3 linked regions of the Cricetulus griseus genome follow. The protein of the gene in region 2 interacts with the protein of the main gene of each other region in a biochemical or structural test. Links are inferred from orthologs where the notes say so. Each region holds a gene or a part of one and is shown on either strand. Other genes may lie near its edges.

The links. The genes of interacting proteins can lie anywhere in the genome.
Region 1: the proteins of Tjp1 (region 2) and Cldn2 form a complex in vitro, tested with the Homo sapiens proteins (2 studies listed by BioGRID and IntAct, with this or other methods). The link is inferred for Cricetulus griseus from reciprocal best matches to the Homo sapiens genes TJP1 and CLDN2.
Region 3: the proteins of Tjp1 (region 2) and Claudin-4 form a complex in vitro, tested with the Homo sapiens proteins (2 studies listed by BioGRID and IntAct, with this or other methods). The link is inferred for Cricetulus griseus from reciprocal best matches to the Homo sapiens genes TJP1 and CLDN4.

What each region holds. Positions count from the first base shown.
Region 1 is NC_048604.1:40,527,991-40,532,803, forward strand, and holds Cldn2 (claudin-2), read right to left. Parts: upstream 2,021-4,813; coding exon 1,328-2,020; downstream 1-1,327. UniProt on the Homo sapiens protein: Forms paracellular channels: polymerizes in tight junction strands with cation- and water-selective channels through the strands, conveying epithelial permeability in a process known as paracellular tight junction permeability.
Region 2 is NC_048596.1:131,896,693-131,903,368, reverse strand, and holds the start of Tjp1 (tight junction protein ZO-1), read right to left. Parts: upstream 4,302-6,676; 5' UTR 3,886-4,301; coding exon 3,859-3,885; intron 1-3,858. UniProt on the Homo sapiens protein: TJP1, TJP2, and TJP3 are closely related scaffolding proteins that link tight junction (TJ) transmembrane proteins such as claudins, junctional adhesion molecules, and occludin to the actin cytoskeleton.
Region 3 is NC_048597.1:114,020,464-114,025,438, reverse strand, and holds Claudin-4 (claudin-4), read left to right. Parts: upstream 1-3,015; coding exon 3,016-3,648; downstream 3,649-4,975. UniProt on the Homo sapiens protein: Can associate with other claudins to regulate tight junction structural and functional strand dynamics.

The sequences.
Region 1 (4,813 bases), on a different chromosome or scaffold from region 2:
ACCGTTCTCTGTTCTCCCAACTCAAGCACAATCCCAGGCAGCAGTTCAACTATCACTCAGATCATAGATGTTTCATGCTGGAGACCTTGCAGCCCTGCCAGAGAATCTTCTGATGGGCAATGACATGAGTATTAAAAATGACCAACAACTTATCTGGTGCTATGGTCTTTCAGAGGCTCTCAAGTGTTCCAAGTGTAGACCAACGGGCTGTTTTCCCATTAAGTCTGAAGTTGCTGGTGGGGCTGCCTCTGAAACAGTAGGAGCACGCATGACAACCATCATACGTGTCCACCCAGCTTCTTAGATCCGGAAGTTCTTACTCTTTCTTGGCCAGGGTTAAGTTATCTTTCTTAGTCCTCTACGGTTGGCATACTGAAGGGCAGTTCTAGAAAAACTGGTTTGTTGTTCCCAAGGAAACCTTTGTCTAGGGCTCCAAGTCGTGTGGTTTAGCCAGGAGGCTAGGTCAGACACCCCAGAGAGGGCAGAGGCTTCAGTGGTAGTTGTTAACTGCAGCTTCTTGGCAATTAATTCCTCAGTGGAGTCAAAGTGCTGCAGCCTTGTGCTTTCCTGCAACTATGCTTCCACAAGAGTATGGGAATCAGAGGAAGTGCCCTGAGTGTGATTCTGATGGTCTGGGGGGTCCCATGTTGCCTCCCATCCTATACCCAGTTGCTTTCTTCTGGATGCCATGAGATATCGTTCTTTCCGTTCATTCCAGACCAGTCTGGACATGCTGCATTAATAACAAAGGTGGGAGGGAGGCTTCGGGCCTGCTACTGATCAATCCATTTCTTTGGATGGAGGTTTGAGAAGGGAGCTAGAGCCATGCTCACAGAAGCCACCACTCCTTCTTCTGTCTGTCCCCCAGCAACTGAGTTAAGAGCCAACCTCAACCCGGGAAAAGGTCTTCTGGTCACAGATTGTCAGTGGGATGTGATTAGTGGGTTGGGGGCATGGATTTCCAGGTAAAGCAAAGGTCAGAAGAATGCCTCTGGGTTTAGCCAAAAGTAGCAGAGATGGGATTTGGAGTTTTAGTTTGAGCATTCAGGGTACAGGAGGTGCCTTGGTGAGGCAAGGTAAGGGAAGTAGAAAAGCTGGCTTGGTGAGTATCCTTGGCAATTCAACCTAGATGGTGTCTCACCAGTCCCCATCTTTGCCTTCCCTCCATCCAATGACCACAGTCAGTCTAGCCTCAGCAGCACCTTACACATGATTCAGTGGCAATGTCCCTTGCCTGTGACCCTCAGGGCATTGTCCACTACTTTTTTGTTGCTTTTTACAGTCCCAGTCACCACCCCACCCCATCCCCAGCTCTGGCCCTGGTTCTTCACACATACCCAGTCAGGCTGTAGGAGTTGAACTCACTCTTGGCTTTGAGCTGTTGACCAGGCCTTGGAGAGCTCCTAGTGGCAAGAGGCTGGGCCTGGTAGCCATCATAGTAGTTGGTACGATTTCCTCGAGGCGAGCAGGAAAAGCAGAGAATAACTCCAGCTACCAGGGAGAACAGGGATGAGATAATGCCCAAGTAAAGCGCCTCTCCAATCTCAAATTTCATGCTGTCTGGAACCAGTGGTGAGTAGAAGTCCCGAAGGATGCCATGAAGATTCCAGGCAACTGGGATAAAACCCAGGATGCCGCCAAGGATGAAGAAAACTCCACCCACTACAGCCACTCTGTCCTTAGCTCGAGATTCCTGGCAGAACACTGTGCATCTCATGCCCACCACAGAGATAATGCAGGCCAGTGAGGACATTGCACTGGATGTCACCATCATGGCCTGGGCAGCCTGGATGTCAGCAGGAAGTCCTAGAAGTGTACTGTAGATGTCACACTGGGTGATGCCTGTGCTGTGCGTAGCACACTCCATCCAGAGGCCCTTGGAAAAGCCAACCGCTGTCACAATGCTGGCACCAACATAAGAACTTGTTCGCCAGTTGGGAAGCAACATGGCAATCGATGTGCCTAAAAGCCCCAAAAGGCCTAGGATGTAGCCCACCAGTTGGACGCCAAGGGAGGCCATGGCAGACCTCTCAATAGAAGTCTCTTCGGAGCCCGTTCTCTTGTCTTTTGGCTGCTGCTCTTGTTTCTTGGATCCCAGCCTCTAATCCCTCATCTCACAGTGTCTCTGGCAAGCTGACTTCTTCCCTCCTTACAAGTATCTGTGGGTGGCCACAAGCAGGCTCAAGAAGGCATCTAGAAATCCTTAAAAAAAAAAAAAAAACCATAAACCAGATTAAATATTGACCAGAAGCTTATGAGAAACCAGAAAACGCTGGATGCCTTTTGACCTTTGTTATCTTTAAAAATAACACATGAGAAAGAAAAAAAAAACTTTGGAAGTAGAGCCAAAATGTCATCACCTCCTGCGTAGGCACATGCTTTAGGTTGGCAGTCAGACAAAGAAAGGCAGGGGCCAGACAGGTGGCTGCTTTCCGAGAAGGTAGTGATGGCAATAGCAGTTGTGGTGTGTTAACTCTACTGCCTGTCTCCAAGGCCTGCTATTTAACATATTGCCAAGCAACCACACCACAGGGCCCCTCAATTGCAGACTGAGGCCAAACTCCAGGAGACTGGATCGTGTGGAACAAGTCTTAGAATGCGGCCTTGGACTCCAGTTTGTTAGAGGCTACTTGAATTGCCAAGTACTGGCTTACCCCAGAATCATTTTGCCTATGGCAATAATGGATTTCCAGGGCGAATCAGGGTGGGAAACAAAGCTTTCTGTCCACTCTCTGAGAGGTCAGGTCTTTTAGCCTTGCTCAGATCCCTCCCTGCAAGGCAGAATAAGAGCCCCAAAAAGGTATAGCACACCGGGTATTTCCTGTCTCCTCTCCTAACAAATGATCCCATGACCAGCCTCTCAAATGACATGGGAGGACTCTAAAGAAAAACTGTTGAACTCCAGGTCCCAGGGGTCCTCAAGGTCCCTGGCTCGTCAGAGACAGTAGAAAAAGTGGAGGGGAGGGAATCTGCTCCAGTAGTAGAGGACTTTGCAAAAGGTAGGCAGACATTCAGTGATTGATGGGATTTTGCAGTGTTAGGCGATTTCGCCGTTTCCAAGGCTCCAGATTCAGAGGTCAAAGTAACACTCCTCCAGCACCTTCTGCAAGACTGTTCAGTCCACAAATTTTCAACCCAATACACCATTGCTACTCCATCTTCACCTTCCTCAATATTTTTTTTTTGTGTGTGGGAGGGCTGGAGAGATGATGGCTCAGTGGTTAAGAGCACTGGTTGCTCTTCCAGAGGACCTAGGTTCAATTCCCAGCACTTGTGTGGGGTCTCATAACTGCCAGTAACTCTAGCTCCATCTCGGATGCCCTCTTCTGGCCTCTGCCAGCACCTGGCACACAAGTGATGCACAGACATTCATACAGGCAAAACGCTCATATGCATAGAAAACAAATGTTTTAAAATTTCTCTTTCACATTGCTCAGGGATCCATTCTTTCCTGAATTAAAACTCTAGAAATTAACAAGCGCACCTACTCTATTACCTAATCTGTTCCCTATCCAAATCTAAATTTTCAGTGGAAACTCTCCTAACAATCAACACAGGCAATGGGATCTTCTAATAAAAAAATTCTGGGAGGAGGTGATTGAGACTTATCTCAGTGGGAGTATGGAAAAGTCTTATGACATCCCCGTCTGACATTTTCAAAAGAACACAGCCCCTCTCCCTCTGTACCTCCTGATCAGTTCTTGCCTGGGTCCTATGTTGTCACCAAATGGTAATCCTCTCCATCTAGATCAATATCCCAGGAGTGATCCTTGTCACCCTGCTCCTGTTTAACCCTGCATCTTATAAATATGACGTTCCACCACTACTTCCTAATTCGGGGCTTCACCTGGGTAAACAATAGTTTTATAACTGGTCTTACTTCCAGTCTTGTCTAGCCCAATTCAGTCTCCTCATGGTGGCCATGATGATCTTTCAGCACATGAATCGGAAGAGGTCATTTGAATGTGTGTCCACATGTGCCTACATGTAGGTGCGTGGACATGCGCACACAAACGTTCCCCAGGTTGGGCAGGGGTGCCACTGGAGGCATAAACCTGTGGATGTCAGATGTTGACTTCAGGTATCTTCCTAGATTTTTCTCCATCTTATCTTTCGAGGTCTTGATAATTTATTTTATCAAACACTCATGCATACATGTGTGTGCATGTGGAGGTCAGAGGCCAACTTGTGGGAGAGTTGGTTCCCTCCTGCCACCATGTGAGATCTGGTGATCAAATGCAGGTTGTTAGACTTGACAGCAAGGACCTTTCCTCACTGAACTCTATCGTCACCTTCTGCCTTTATTTTTATTTTGAGAGGTCTCTCACTGACCCTGAAGCTTGTTGTTTTCACTGGCATGTGAACCCTTGTGATCTGCTTCCTCCTCACCCACTCTGAGTGCACATGCCTCCACACCCAGGTTTACTTTTTACATTGTTCCTGGAGAGCTGAACTCAAGTCTTCATGTTTTCCCAAGTTACTACTCTTAAGACATTCCAATGGCCCACTGTTGACCAAAGGATAAAATCCACATTTGTTTGAACTCCATGACCCCCAAGATTCACCTGCTCATACTCCATAAGGTGACTGAACTAAATTGCTTTCGGCTCTCCAGTCATGTCATGTGGTGTTTTGCTCCCACGTCTGAGCACAGGCTGTACTGTAAGAAATGTTTTGAGGACTTAGCTTGGATAGCTTTCATTCTAGACATACTCCAGTGCCCTTCTTCTGTATTTTTCTAAATATTTTTTGATTTTTATGTGTATAAATATCTTGCCTGTGTGGAATGTCTGTGTGCCCATATGTGCAGGGC
Region 2 (6,676 bases):
GAGTTGGGCTAACACTATCACTACAGCAAGCCAGAGGCAGCATGAAGTCTTCCTCAAATCTGAAATAAAAGTTCACTTTACAAGCTCCTGCCATGGAAACATCTATTGGGGAAAATGGCACTGTATCAGTAAGTTATGAAGCTACATAATATAATGAGGACTACCAACCAATTTACATGAAGTAAAGCTTTAATGAACAGCATCTAAAAGGCTGAACACCTACATACTTAAAAGCCTGTGTCTAAAATTCTACATCCTGGTGAAAACTACTGTACAAACTGAGGGGGGGAGGGGTATCAGTAGAACAAAGATCATAAATGGTGGCAGACTCAATAAAGTGAAAATCTTGAGCCTCAAGTGAGTTTTTACTTTACTCTTGAAGTATATGAAGCAAATACTCACTGATCAGTTAAGTACCAAACTAAAATTGTTTAATAGTTCCTCAGCAAACAATCCCTATCCATAAAGACTGGTGGAATAAGTTTTGAACATTAGCTATTTTCTGCAGTTAAAATTCAAAAATGTTCAGCTACTAAAAAAACTAACTGTGCCTCACTTGATAAAGATTCCTGAGAACCCTCACAATAAACAGAGCAATGGTTTAAAAAAGAAAAGTATAAATCATTTTTATACCCATCTACATTATTTCAGACATAGCCACTAGCAAAAACAAAACTGTTTCTCCGACACAAACATTTCATTACACAGCAAAACAATAAGCTAGCCAAGGAAGGCACAATAATTTTTACTGTTTCTCCAAAGTGATACAACTTGAAATTCCAGAAACCATTCAACTCCCTTCAGTAACTGTTGATGGGTCAGCCAATGAAAATGTTCCTAATAATTAATACTATTTTCTTACCTAGTTAAACAATTATTTGGTAAGGCAGAGAACCATCCCCAAATTTCTGTTTTCAACTTCCAAATAGCTGTTACCAAGTACACTAGTAAGCAAAATTCAATGCAAATTCAGATACGCATCATACAGATAAAAGGCTTTTTCCTTTATTTACTGAACATCATGCACAGAGAATCCCTTTTCAAACGTGTGTGTGTGTGTGTGTGTGTGTGTGTGTGTGTGTGTGTGTGTGTGTGTACACGTAGTACTCAGGCATGTGTTGTGAGCTCAAGAGCTTATGTCTCCCTACACATTTCTCCTAGTGCTTTTTCAGTTATTTTTTTCAAACACTTAAAACTTCATGAGGAGCATCGAAGGAAGGATGGCTTAGTGGATAAAGGTGGTTGTAACTCACAGATGCTAGACTGACCAAAGCCACAAAATTGTCATCCACTGGGTTGCCACAGCATGTGTGCATTCCCATCAGACACCCACAATAAATAACAACTACAACAAAGATTCTTCTGGATTTTGTTACATAAAAGAAACATTTTTTTTAAAAAAAGATACCCGCCTTAGTAGTCTTATTTATTGAATAAAGGATCCTTTCCCAATAATCTATTCTTATTTTGACATATATTCAGTTTTCCCTTTTGTTGGGCTAAGAGTGCAAACTATTTCCACTTTCACAGCATTACTGTGAGAATTAAGTGAATTACCAACACAAAACAACCACAGTACATATTAAAAGTTGATCACAAACACTAACAGCCAATAAATAAGTACTATTTATTTATTTCTGAATAATAAGTATTATTTATTTATGGCTGTGTGGCGCCATTCTCTATTCCTGAAGCAATAGCCTACTTTAAATTACTCTGAATTTATAATACATTAGATTATCTGAAAGGACTTTCTCCCTCCATTCATTTATGTGGTAAGATAAACATCAAACTATCATGTTTTCTATAATACCACACTGGAATTCTACTTGGAACTGCACTGCACTTACACATCAATTCAGGGACCATGGGTAGGTTCTGACTCTCTTCACCCAGAGTTTGATTCCCCTAGATTTGGGTAACAAACCATCATTTGTTGTATTTATTCTTAAGTATAGGCTCTGGAGGAAGATTTTAATGGGTATATCAGAATTTCAAATGAACTCTTTGACATAGCAATTTCATTTTTAAGAATTTGCCATACAGTAGTAAGTGGACAGATACAAAAATGTAAATACAATTATTTAAAGTGTACTCATTGCAGTAACAATATCCTGGAAACAAGCCAAACATCTCCTCAAAAAGGCAATGATGACCTGAGCAGCAAGATGAAAATTACTCAACCATTACAAGAATACAGAATCAAAAGCATTGGCTTATACACAAGCTCTACAACTGTTGTGCTGCAAAATTAGTGTCTGTAAAATATTTTAACAGGGGTGGGAAAAACAAAAGCACCCTATGTAAAGCACTGACAGAGTTGAGCTCTTAAGCAAAACAATAAATGTGACTTAGGGAAACAACTGGTTAGCACTGCATTTACCTGTTCACTTATGGTGGGTTCTAGCTTTATGTAGACTTCAAAGTGTGCCCCAATACAGCATCCAAGAAAATAATTCTTCAATTACCAGCTAAGCATGCAAATATTTGACTAGAGAAGCATTGCCATGTTCCATAAAAATCTCAATATCATAATTTATGTGTAAGCACACCTTCTAAATCACCTTGCCATAGCAAGCTATTGGAAACACTTCTCTAGTAATAACACTTTCCAACTGTGTTGTCTTGAATAACAAGTACCAGGGCTCACACTTCGAAACAAAGTGACATTCTGTGTAATATGGCAACAAAGCCTTTCTTCCCAGGAAGTCCCAGCAAAGGTAAATAACAAGTTTTATGTTTTATAAGTAACAAAATGTTGCACTGATTCTAGTTTTTGGTCCCAGGCTTACGTTTTAGATCGGTCATCAATGTGCCTTCAAATAAGATACAAGCATTATTACTAAGGGAGGAATACTCCATTCCTTAAAACAATCTATTCACTACTAACTGTAACCGCTAACTACTGCCAGCCAAAAGACAAGGTCCTATTAAGAATTCAGGCGCTTCCTTCTATCTGCTCCCTAAGGTTATGATTAAGTATTTCTAATAGAAAAATATATAAAATCACCACCTGTTTTAAGTTGTTTGAGTAATGGATTTTTTTTTAAAGGGAGTTTTTTCACTCATCACATTTTGTGTTCCTATCATTGTTTGAAAGACCAAGTACTAAAATGCATAAATGGGAAGAATTCTAACTCGATTTTTAAAATTTTTTGGCTTAATGTAGTACTTAATAACATAAGGCATGCTGTGTCAAGAAACACACTTCAAAACACACGGGGAAATGGACCGGAACGTTGTTTTGTGCAGAATTCATCGGGTATTTTCTGTTGTTGAGTCCATCTTATTGTCCATGTGCAGGGACACTTTGTGATACTTTTGAAAGTTGAAATTAAAGTGTTAAGAACTTTCCTCCTCTGATGCCTCACATAAATATTAAAGCTAAAAAAAAAAAAAATCTTAGCTACTCTCGAGCTGAGTGTTTTGCTGTCTCAAAGCTTTATCGCTGCCATTGCGCATACCGCAGCGGGTGACATCAGATCGAAACTACAGGGTTTCGCCGGGTACCAACCACTCCTCCGGAGACAGCCCGAGCTACCCACCGGCCTGCTGCAGGTGACACCCCTGGGTCTCAGCAGACACGCTCTCGGAGACATGAGAATCCTCACCCGGGGCGACTTTCCAGGCGCGAGACCTGTTGCACGTCGCCTCCCAGCGCGAGCCGGAGCCAGGCACCGGCAGCCGTGCACCTGCCCGGGCGGCAGGCGCGTCTCCAGCCCGCCTTCCTTCCCTGCCTCCCCGCCCCGCCACCGTCGCCCCCGGCTGCCGCCCGCGGGGAGGGCGGGGCGAGGCCCCCCGCAGGGCCCCGGGTCCTCCACCGCCCCGCCCGCAGCCCGGCGGGCCGTGAGCCCTCACCTTAGCGGCCGCGGCCCTGGCGGACATCTTGTCTCTCTCGGCGCCGCGCGAGGCTCCTCGGACCCGAAACTCCGCGCCGCCGGCCCGCCCGCCCGCTCCTCACGCCACCGTCCGCATAAACATCTCCCGGGGACGAGCGGGGCAGGGGCGGGGGCGGCCGGAAAGGCCCGGCCCACGGGGAGGGGATTCAAGTGGGACAAAAGTCCGGGAAGCGTCCGCCCCGCCCGGGCTTCTCCGCGGGGCACACCCGGCCGCCTGCTCGGCCTCCGCCGCCCTCGGCCCGCTCGCCGCTCCGCAGGACCGAGACCCCCGGCCGTCCCCTCCGCCCTCGGGCGTCTCCTCAGAAACCTGCTCCCGCACGTAACTTCCCCGGAACGCGTGGCCGCCGAGAGACGTGCCGTCGGCGGGCAGAGCCGTCGCGGGCAACTCAAGCAGCCACGCAAAACCTGCCGGACCGGGCCACTGAGCATGCCCAGCCGGCGGGGGCGGGGCCTCGGCGAGGGGCGGGGCCAGGCCGGCTCCGACCCCCGCGCGGAAGGAAAAGCTCAGCTCTCCAAGTAACTTGCTAGGCGGTTTCCGCTGCCGCGCGAGCCATCCTGTTTGCTTCTATGAAAGATCCGGCAGAATTCGCCCCGGAGAAGCCCACACCTCTATGTACCTAAGCTTTTCAACTCCCTACGGAGACTTGTCTACTCTCTTCCTAAGCCAGCCACCCCAGATCAGTCCCACGCAGGAGTGTGGCAGGAAAGGCGAGCCTGGCCAATACCTGACTGTGGTTTCCTTAACCTCGCAAGTAACAATGGTCACAACTGTCACCACGTGTCTGGGCATTGTTACCCTATTGAAGAGAGATGTGTTTTTGTTTGAAGTACATCAGAAGCGCTCTAGCAGGCTCAGAACAAGCCAACTGCCTTAAATAAACCAAGTTACAGATCTAGGCATCCAGAGATAATCCCAGCCACTTTCTTTCTCATGCCTCCCTAGACATTTTTGGGCTATCAAGATTGCTGAAATTCTTGGCCCCTGAAGAGATAGACCAGGCTGCCTGCCTTTCTGAAAACCATGCCCTCCAGCTCAAGCTGGACAAAAAAGTATGTAAGTACATGCGGAACTCACCACCAGTTCAATCGGCCACCGCGCAAACTTAGGCCAGCTAGCTACCTTGATGAACAGGAAAAATAGGTAGAAAACCACTTCGAGCTTCATTAAGTTACACTCTGTATACTGCAAAGCTCTTCACAGATATCAAGAATTTTTAGTAACATTAAATAACATCCTTAAAGTACCTATTATAATGCTACGATGGCCAGGCAAGGTAGAGTGGGGCATGAACATAGGGTTAAACAATAGTTTTTAGAATTCAGCTACGTGACAGAATCAAACTTACTTCTAAGAAATATCTGTATATGACAATTAAGATTTCAAAATCATGTGTTTTGCAACTCTAAGCTAGTTGAACTAGAAAAAAAAATTATGCAAACCAAACCCTATTTCTTGCCATGAAAGAAACCAATTAAAGTCATTTTTTTTGTTTTAGTCATATTGCATGTGATTGTTTCAAAGGCAAAGTGCCCTGTGTTCTCTTAAGAAGAGTGATTAAATTTTTCCTCTGAGAAAACAGCATCACAAAACACTTAGATGTTTTGTATTTTTAGAAAGTGGTTATTGAAGGTCTTTCACATCAGTGCGTTAACTTTTAATAAAATGCATTCTGCAAACCTGCCTAGAGGCAGATGGGGTGTGTTATGCACATACTCTTCCTCTTTTCTCTTTGGACAATCTTCTATCATGTCTCCCACTGTATGAATTAAATGTTAGATATCTGCAACTTGTCTCAAATCCAGTATACCTGATTGATCTAATTTTTGTCATGGCTTTAAAAAAATGAAATCAATAAAAACGTTTCACTTTCATAATACTTTGCTTTAAAAAGTGTATCAAAAATTTCCAGTTAACATAACATTTTAAAATTTTCCAATGGTATTTTGAATAATGGAATTACATTATCTAAATTGAACTAAATGTTACACTAGGTAAATTGAACAGATATTCTTAATATCTAAACCAAACTATATTTGTGTATCTTCTCCAAATAGCAAGGGAAGTTCCTATCATTTATAGAAATTAAGCTGCCATAGTGACACCTATTAATTTGTATGCTAATAAAAATAAAGAAATCAGAAAATAATTTTAAAGAAAAACACTGTTGTCAGGAATCTAGCTCTGCCGCCCTACAGTTTATCTGTGGGAAGGTGCTTCAATATGACCTTTCCCCAGATAAACTGGAGTGGACAGAATATAGCATAATCTCTGAGACACACCCTTAACTTGAATAAGAGTTTATCCACTGAACACCAAAAAGTTTTCAAAGTGTACCATGACATTAATGAGTACAGATGAATGTGGCTACATTTTCTCTAGGTTTAAATCAAAAGGGAAGAAATCCAAGTGAGTTAGAGAATCTCATTTAGAGTTACAAGAAAGTTCAACCAAGAATTTCCCTTTGTGTACAGATTTCTTTCTGATCTAATGCAGAGGAACAGGAAACTAAAAACCACAACACTCAGAAGCACAACTTCCTGTGGGATTTCTGGTGTCTGTGGTCAGAATGCAAGAAGCACTAAGCATTCAGAGTCTTTAGAAATCTTAGACTTACTTAATAAAACAGCCCTGACTCAATGAACTATACCTACACTTACATTTTACATATGTGGATTTTTGTTTCCACTGTAAAAACAAAACAAAAAAACAACAACAATCTCTAAAAAAAAAACTTTATTAGTGTTACTTTTGGTAAGAGCTGTGAGTTTACTTTTGA
Region 3 (4,975 bases), on a different chromosome or scaffold from region 2:
TGGTGGGCTTTACAGGTGCATGGAGCGTGCAGATTGGGAAAACATGGCTGCAGTGGAAATGTGTTGCACTGGCTGCTGGCAATGCCATTGTGCCCAACAGTTGGTCTCATCTTGCTTCAGCCTACCCAGTGCGGGAATTACCCTCATTTTAGATAACTTTATTCTTTGGAACAGAGTTTAGCCAGTTAGCCCAGTCTGGCCTTGAATTTGTGATAGTCCTGCCTCTCCCTCTCAAAAGCTGAGATCGCAGGTATTGGCTGCCACACCTAGCTGGAGCACTTAACCGGAATAAGACCTTGCTTTTGGCTTCATGAGCCCCCAGATCAGAAAGGGGCATGGAAGTGCATCTTCAAGGCTGTAACCCCACGCTTGTAGCATGGAGGGGACACCTGCTCCATTGGTTCTTCTAACTCTGGGGTTCATTAGGTAGCCAAGAGTCACTTTCCAATGAATTCCAAGTACTGAGCACCCAAGGACCACATGGCATGACCGCAGAAGGAAGATGGCCTTCTTTAAGATCGAGGACTATGCGTTTGTTGCATATGGTGGTGCACACCTGTAATCCCAGCACCAGGAGGATGAGGAAGAAGCATGGAGAATTTGGGGACAGCCGGGGCTCCATCCTGACACCCCAGCCTCAAGTACGGGGACTAAAAGGAAATATTTAAAAAGATTCTGAAGCCAGGCAGTGGTGGTGCATGCCTTTAGTTCAGCACTAGGAATGCAGAGGCAGGCAGATCTGTGAGTTCGAGGCCAGCCTGGTCTACTGAGCTAGTTCCAAGGCAGCCTCCAAAGCCACAGAGAAACCCTGTCTCAAAAAAACAAAATAACAACAACAACAAAAAGATTCTGTGTCCGTTTGGGTTGGAATTGGACTCACAGGCAGCCCAGGGTAGCAGGGTTAGGGTGGAGTTCTGGATAGTGATCAGGGAGGGATTTATGGCAGCTATGGTCTTTGTGGCGTTTACCCCGCAAGGTAAGAAGAGAAACACAAGCCGGTGGTGGTGGTGCACGCCTTTAATCCCAGCACTAAGGAAGCAGAGGCCGGCAGATCTCTGAGTTCAAGGCCAGCCTGGTCTACAGAGTGAGTTCCAGAACAGCCAGAGCTGTTACACACACAATTGAGGCATGCACACCAGGAGGCCAGGGCAAATAAAAGGAGCCCAGATCTGGCTGTGATTAGAGGGCGCTGTACCAATGACGCCCTCCTCAGTTCCGACTGCCCACACTAGAGCCCACTGTTTCTCCCTTCTTGCATTTCCCAGATGCCTTTGGGGTGCACGTGCTCCCTTCTCAGCTTGTCCTCAGAAAGACTGTTTGACTCTGTCCTTTGTACCCAGGCAGGGTGGGGGTAAGGGAGCGTTTGAGACTACCCCCCACCCCCCAAGGCCAGTCTCTGGTCAAACTAGATTCCTTGTCTTGCAAAACATCTATCTGACCCCCACCTCCATGCTGTCCTCTCCCTGAGATGTCCTCTTTGACCCAATCCCCACAGCCTTGCACAATCCCAGGGGAGAGGGTGTGTGTTTCTCAATATAATGCCCCCTAGAACTGTGCCTAGGAGCACACCTTCTCTGTTGAGCTCCCTGTCTGCACCCCTGGTTGGAGGTCCCCTTTCTCTTGGAAGTCTCCAGGGACTTTGTGCCCAGGTTGGCTTTTATGGGAATGGCTCCCTTGCCTTGCAAGAGTAAACATCAGTTTACAGGATAAATCATCTTCTGTAGCCTGTTAGGGTTTTTAATTCTTCTTTACCCAGTTCTGGCCAAGTAGGCTCAGTCCCAGGAAGAGGAGACAGGATTTTGTCACTACCACTACCCACAATTTTTTTTTTTTTGGTTTTTGAGACAGGGTTTCTCTGTGTAGCTTTGGAGGCTGTCTTGGCACTCGCTCTGGAGACCAGGCTGGCCTCGAACTCACAGAGATCCGCCTGCCTCTGCCTCCCGAGTGCTGGGATCAAAGGCGTGTGCCACCAACACTCAATTTTAAATTACATTTACTTATTGTATTTGTGCATCAGAGGACATATGTGTGTCCTATAACGTAGGTCTCAGGGATCAAAACCAGGTCCGTGGGGCTTAGCAGCAAGCACCTTTACCCACTGAACCCTCTCATCAGCCCTTCTGCGTCTCTTGCCCTGGCCCAAAGTGCCTCACCTCTAAACCCCGAGGCACTCTGGCTGGGTGGGGAAATCAATCACTTGAGAGGGAAATGAAGACAGTAGGTGATCTGGCTCTGAGTCCCCAACCCTCACCCCCGCAGATCCTCATTTCCCCACACCGACTTCCTCTGGCTAATGGTAGGAAAGTTGCTGTTGAGGCAAAGTACAGGTGCTGCCACGTTAATGACAATAATAGCCATGATGACAGTGATAAAATTGAGAGGGTAAAAGCAGCACTAATTACGACAGGGTTTCTCTTGGACGTTCTCAGGCATTATCCTCAGATCGGGCTCTCCATTTTCTTATCTCACGGGAGCCCAATATGAGTCTTGGGGACCCTCGCCTTCAGCTCCGAACCCTAGCTAGGCTTGGCTGCTTGTTTCTCCTAGTGTCCCCACCCGGTGAGCACCCAGGTGCTTTTGGCTGGTGACTCAGTGTCTGTCTCTCGACTGACCTTAGCACGAGCCTGGGGAGCTGGGGGAGATGATAGTTTCCTGTGATACCAGCAAGTGACTCAGGGGCCCAGAATTGGGGCCTCAGAACGCCTTTGTTGGCCTAGGTTCAGGAATCCAGAGAAACTGGTCAGGAGGGAGGCCTGGGGACTGAAACCCCTCCCTCTGCCTCCGCCCCTCCTCCACCGTGCTTTAACTGCTGCACCTGCGGCCTCCTGTCCTGGTTGCAGGTGCGGGCAGGAAGGCGCTTGGTAGCTGGTGTACCCGACTCAGCTTCTCCGGCTTGCTTCGTGTCCCTGAGGCTCACCAGAAAAAGCTTTGCCAGCCCTCGGACTTCTATAGCTGCCAGAGAGAGAGAGATACTTTTTTGTGGTCTCCAACCTTGAACCCTGCAGAGACTGAGCCATGGCGTCCATGGGACTACAAGTGCTGGGAATCGCCTTGGCGGTCCTGGGCTGGCTGGGCGCTATTCTGAGCTGTGCGCTCCCCATGTGGCGGGTGACCGCCTTCATCGGCAGCAACATCGTCACGGCGCAGACCAGCTGGGAGGGCCTGTGGATGAACTGCGTGGTGCAGAGCACCGGCCAGATGCAGTGCAAGGTGTACGACTCGCTGCTGGCCCTGCCGCAGGACCTGCAGGCCGCCCGAGCCCTCATGGTCGTCTGCATCCTCGTGGCAGCGGTGGGGATGCTTCTCTCAGTGGTAGGGGGCAAGTGCACCAACTGCATGGAAGACGAGACCACCAAGGCCAAGACCATGATCGGAGCCGGCGCGGTGTTCATCGTGGCAGCCTTGCTGGCTATGGTGCCTATATCTTGGACCGCACACAACGTCATCCGCGACTTCTACAATCCGCTGGTAGTTGCCGGGCAGAAAAGGGAGATGGGAGCTTCGCTTTACATCGGCTGGGCAGCCTCCGGGCTGCTGCTCCTGGGAGGAGGCCTGCTCTGTTGCAGCTGCCCACCTCGTAGCAACGACAAGCCCTACTCCGCTAAGTACTCCGCCGCCCGCTCTGCTCCCGCCAGCAACTATGTGTAAGGTGGGCCACTCTGCTATGTCCCCATTGCCTTTGTTATTTTTTTTTTTTCACCTCGGATTGAGTTCACAATAGCCTGTGATATCCTCACTTCCCTCGGGACCTGCCCTGCTATGGGCCACTAGTTGCTGGGGACAGCAAGCCCGGATTGTGCTAAGTTACTGGCTAAAGTAGCCCTTGGGAGCCATCTGCCTCGCTTGGACACGTCTCAAGGCTCCTTACTCCGGCAAGGATGAATGTAAAAGTATTTCCTTGCTGCCCCCGTTCAAATTGCTCATGGATGCAGGGCTGAAGGCAGAAACTGCTGGGTACCGCAGTGGAGCGGGGAGCTGGGTCCTGCTGGCCGGGATAGCTCAGCTGTGACTTTGGGCCCCCCAGTGGGTGTCCTGCTCATGCTAGCACCTGCACTGACCCTTTTCTATCCTCACTCTCTCTGCCCACACCTGTTACTCCGGCGCTACTCTTGCCATTGTGCCCCATGTTTCTGAGCACACCTGGCCCTACCTGGAGCCTTGGTGTGACCAAGATGACTGTGACTGAGGGGACTTGAGAGCCGGATGGATTCTGCCGTGGAACCCCAGTGACTGACAATGACTGGGCATTACCCACCCACCTACCCTCCAAATAGAGTTGTGTGGAGTGGATGGACGGGTTTGAGGGAAGGGCGGAGGTGGATTAAACTGGTTTGGGGAGTGCTGGTGCTGGGGACCTAGAAGCAGCCCAGGCTGTCCCCACCCCTTTCTGGTACTGTCTTGCTAAATGTCCCGCTCTCTGCACCCCCCCCCCCAAGACCCTGGGCCTCTTGAGCCGCCCCTCTGAACTCCCTACCCTTGTAAATTTCAAGGACGCTGGCCAGTCTGCGGAAGGTATGGGGGCAATGGCGTTGCAAGAGGGAGTCTCCCGGGACTCCCCTGCCTTCTCTGTGGTTTCTTGTTTTGTAATTTAAGAACTATTCACAGCTGTAATTATTATTTTCTACAATAAATGGTTCCCGTGTACAGGAAAGGTTTGGGCTGTTCTCTGTATCTGTGGATGGGACAGGGCTGGAGGGCTGGCTGGTGGTCCCAGGGGGACCTTGATGTTGTAAGAAGTTGAAGTGATTTCAAGAGCTGAGGTTGCAGTTCAGCTAATAGCGTGCCTGGAATGCCAGAAACCCCAGGTTCCATACTTAGCCCCAAGTAAACCAAGTGCAGAAGCAAGAGGATTAGAACTTGAAGGTCATCTCCCACTACATAGTAGGTTCAAGGCTAGCCTGGTCTACTTGACCCTGTCTCAAGAGTGATTTCAGCCGGCATTGGTGGTGCACGCCTTTAATCCCAGCACTGGAGG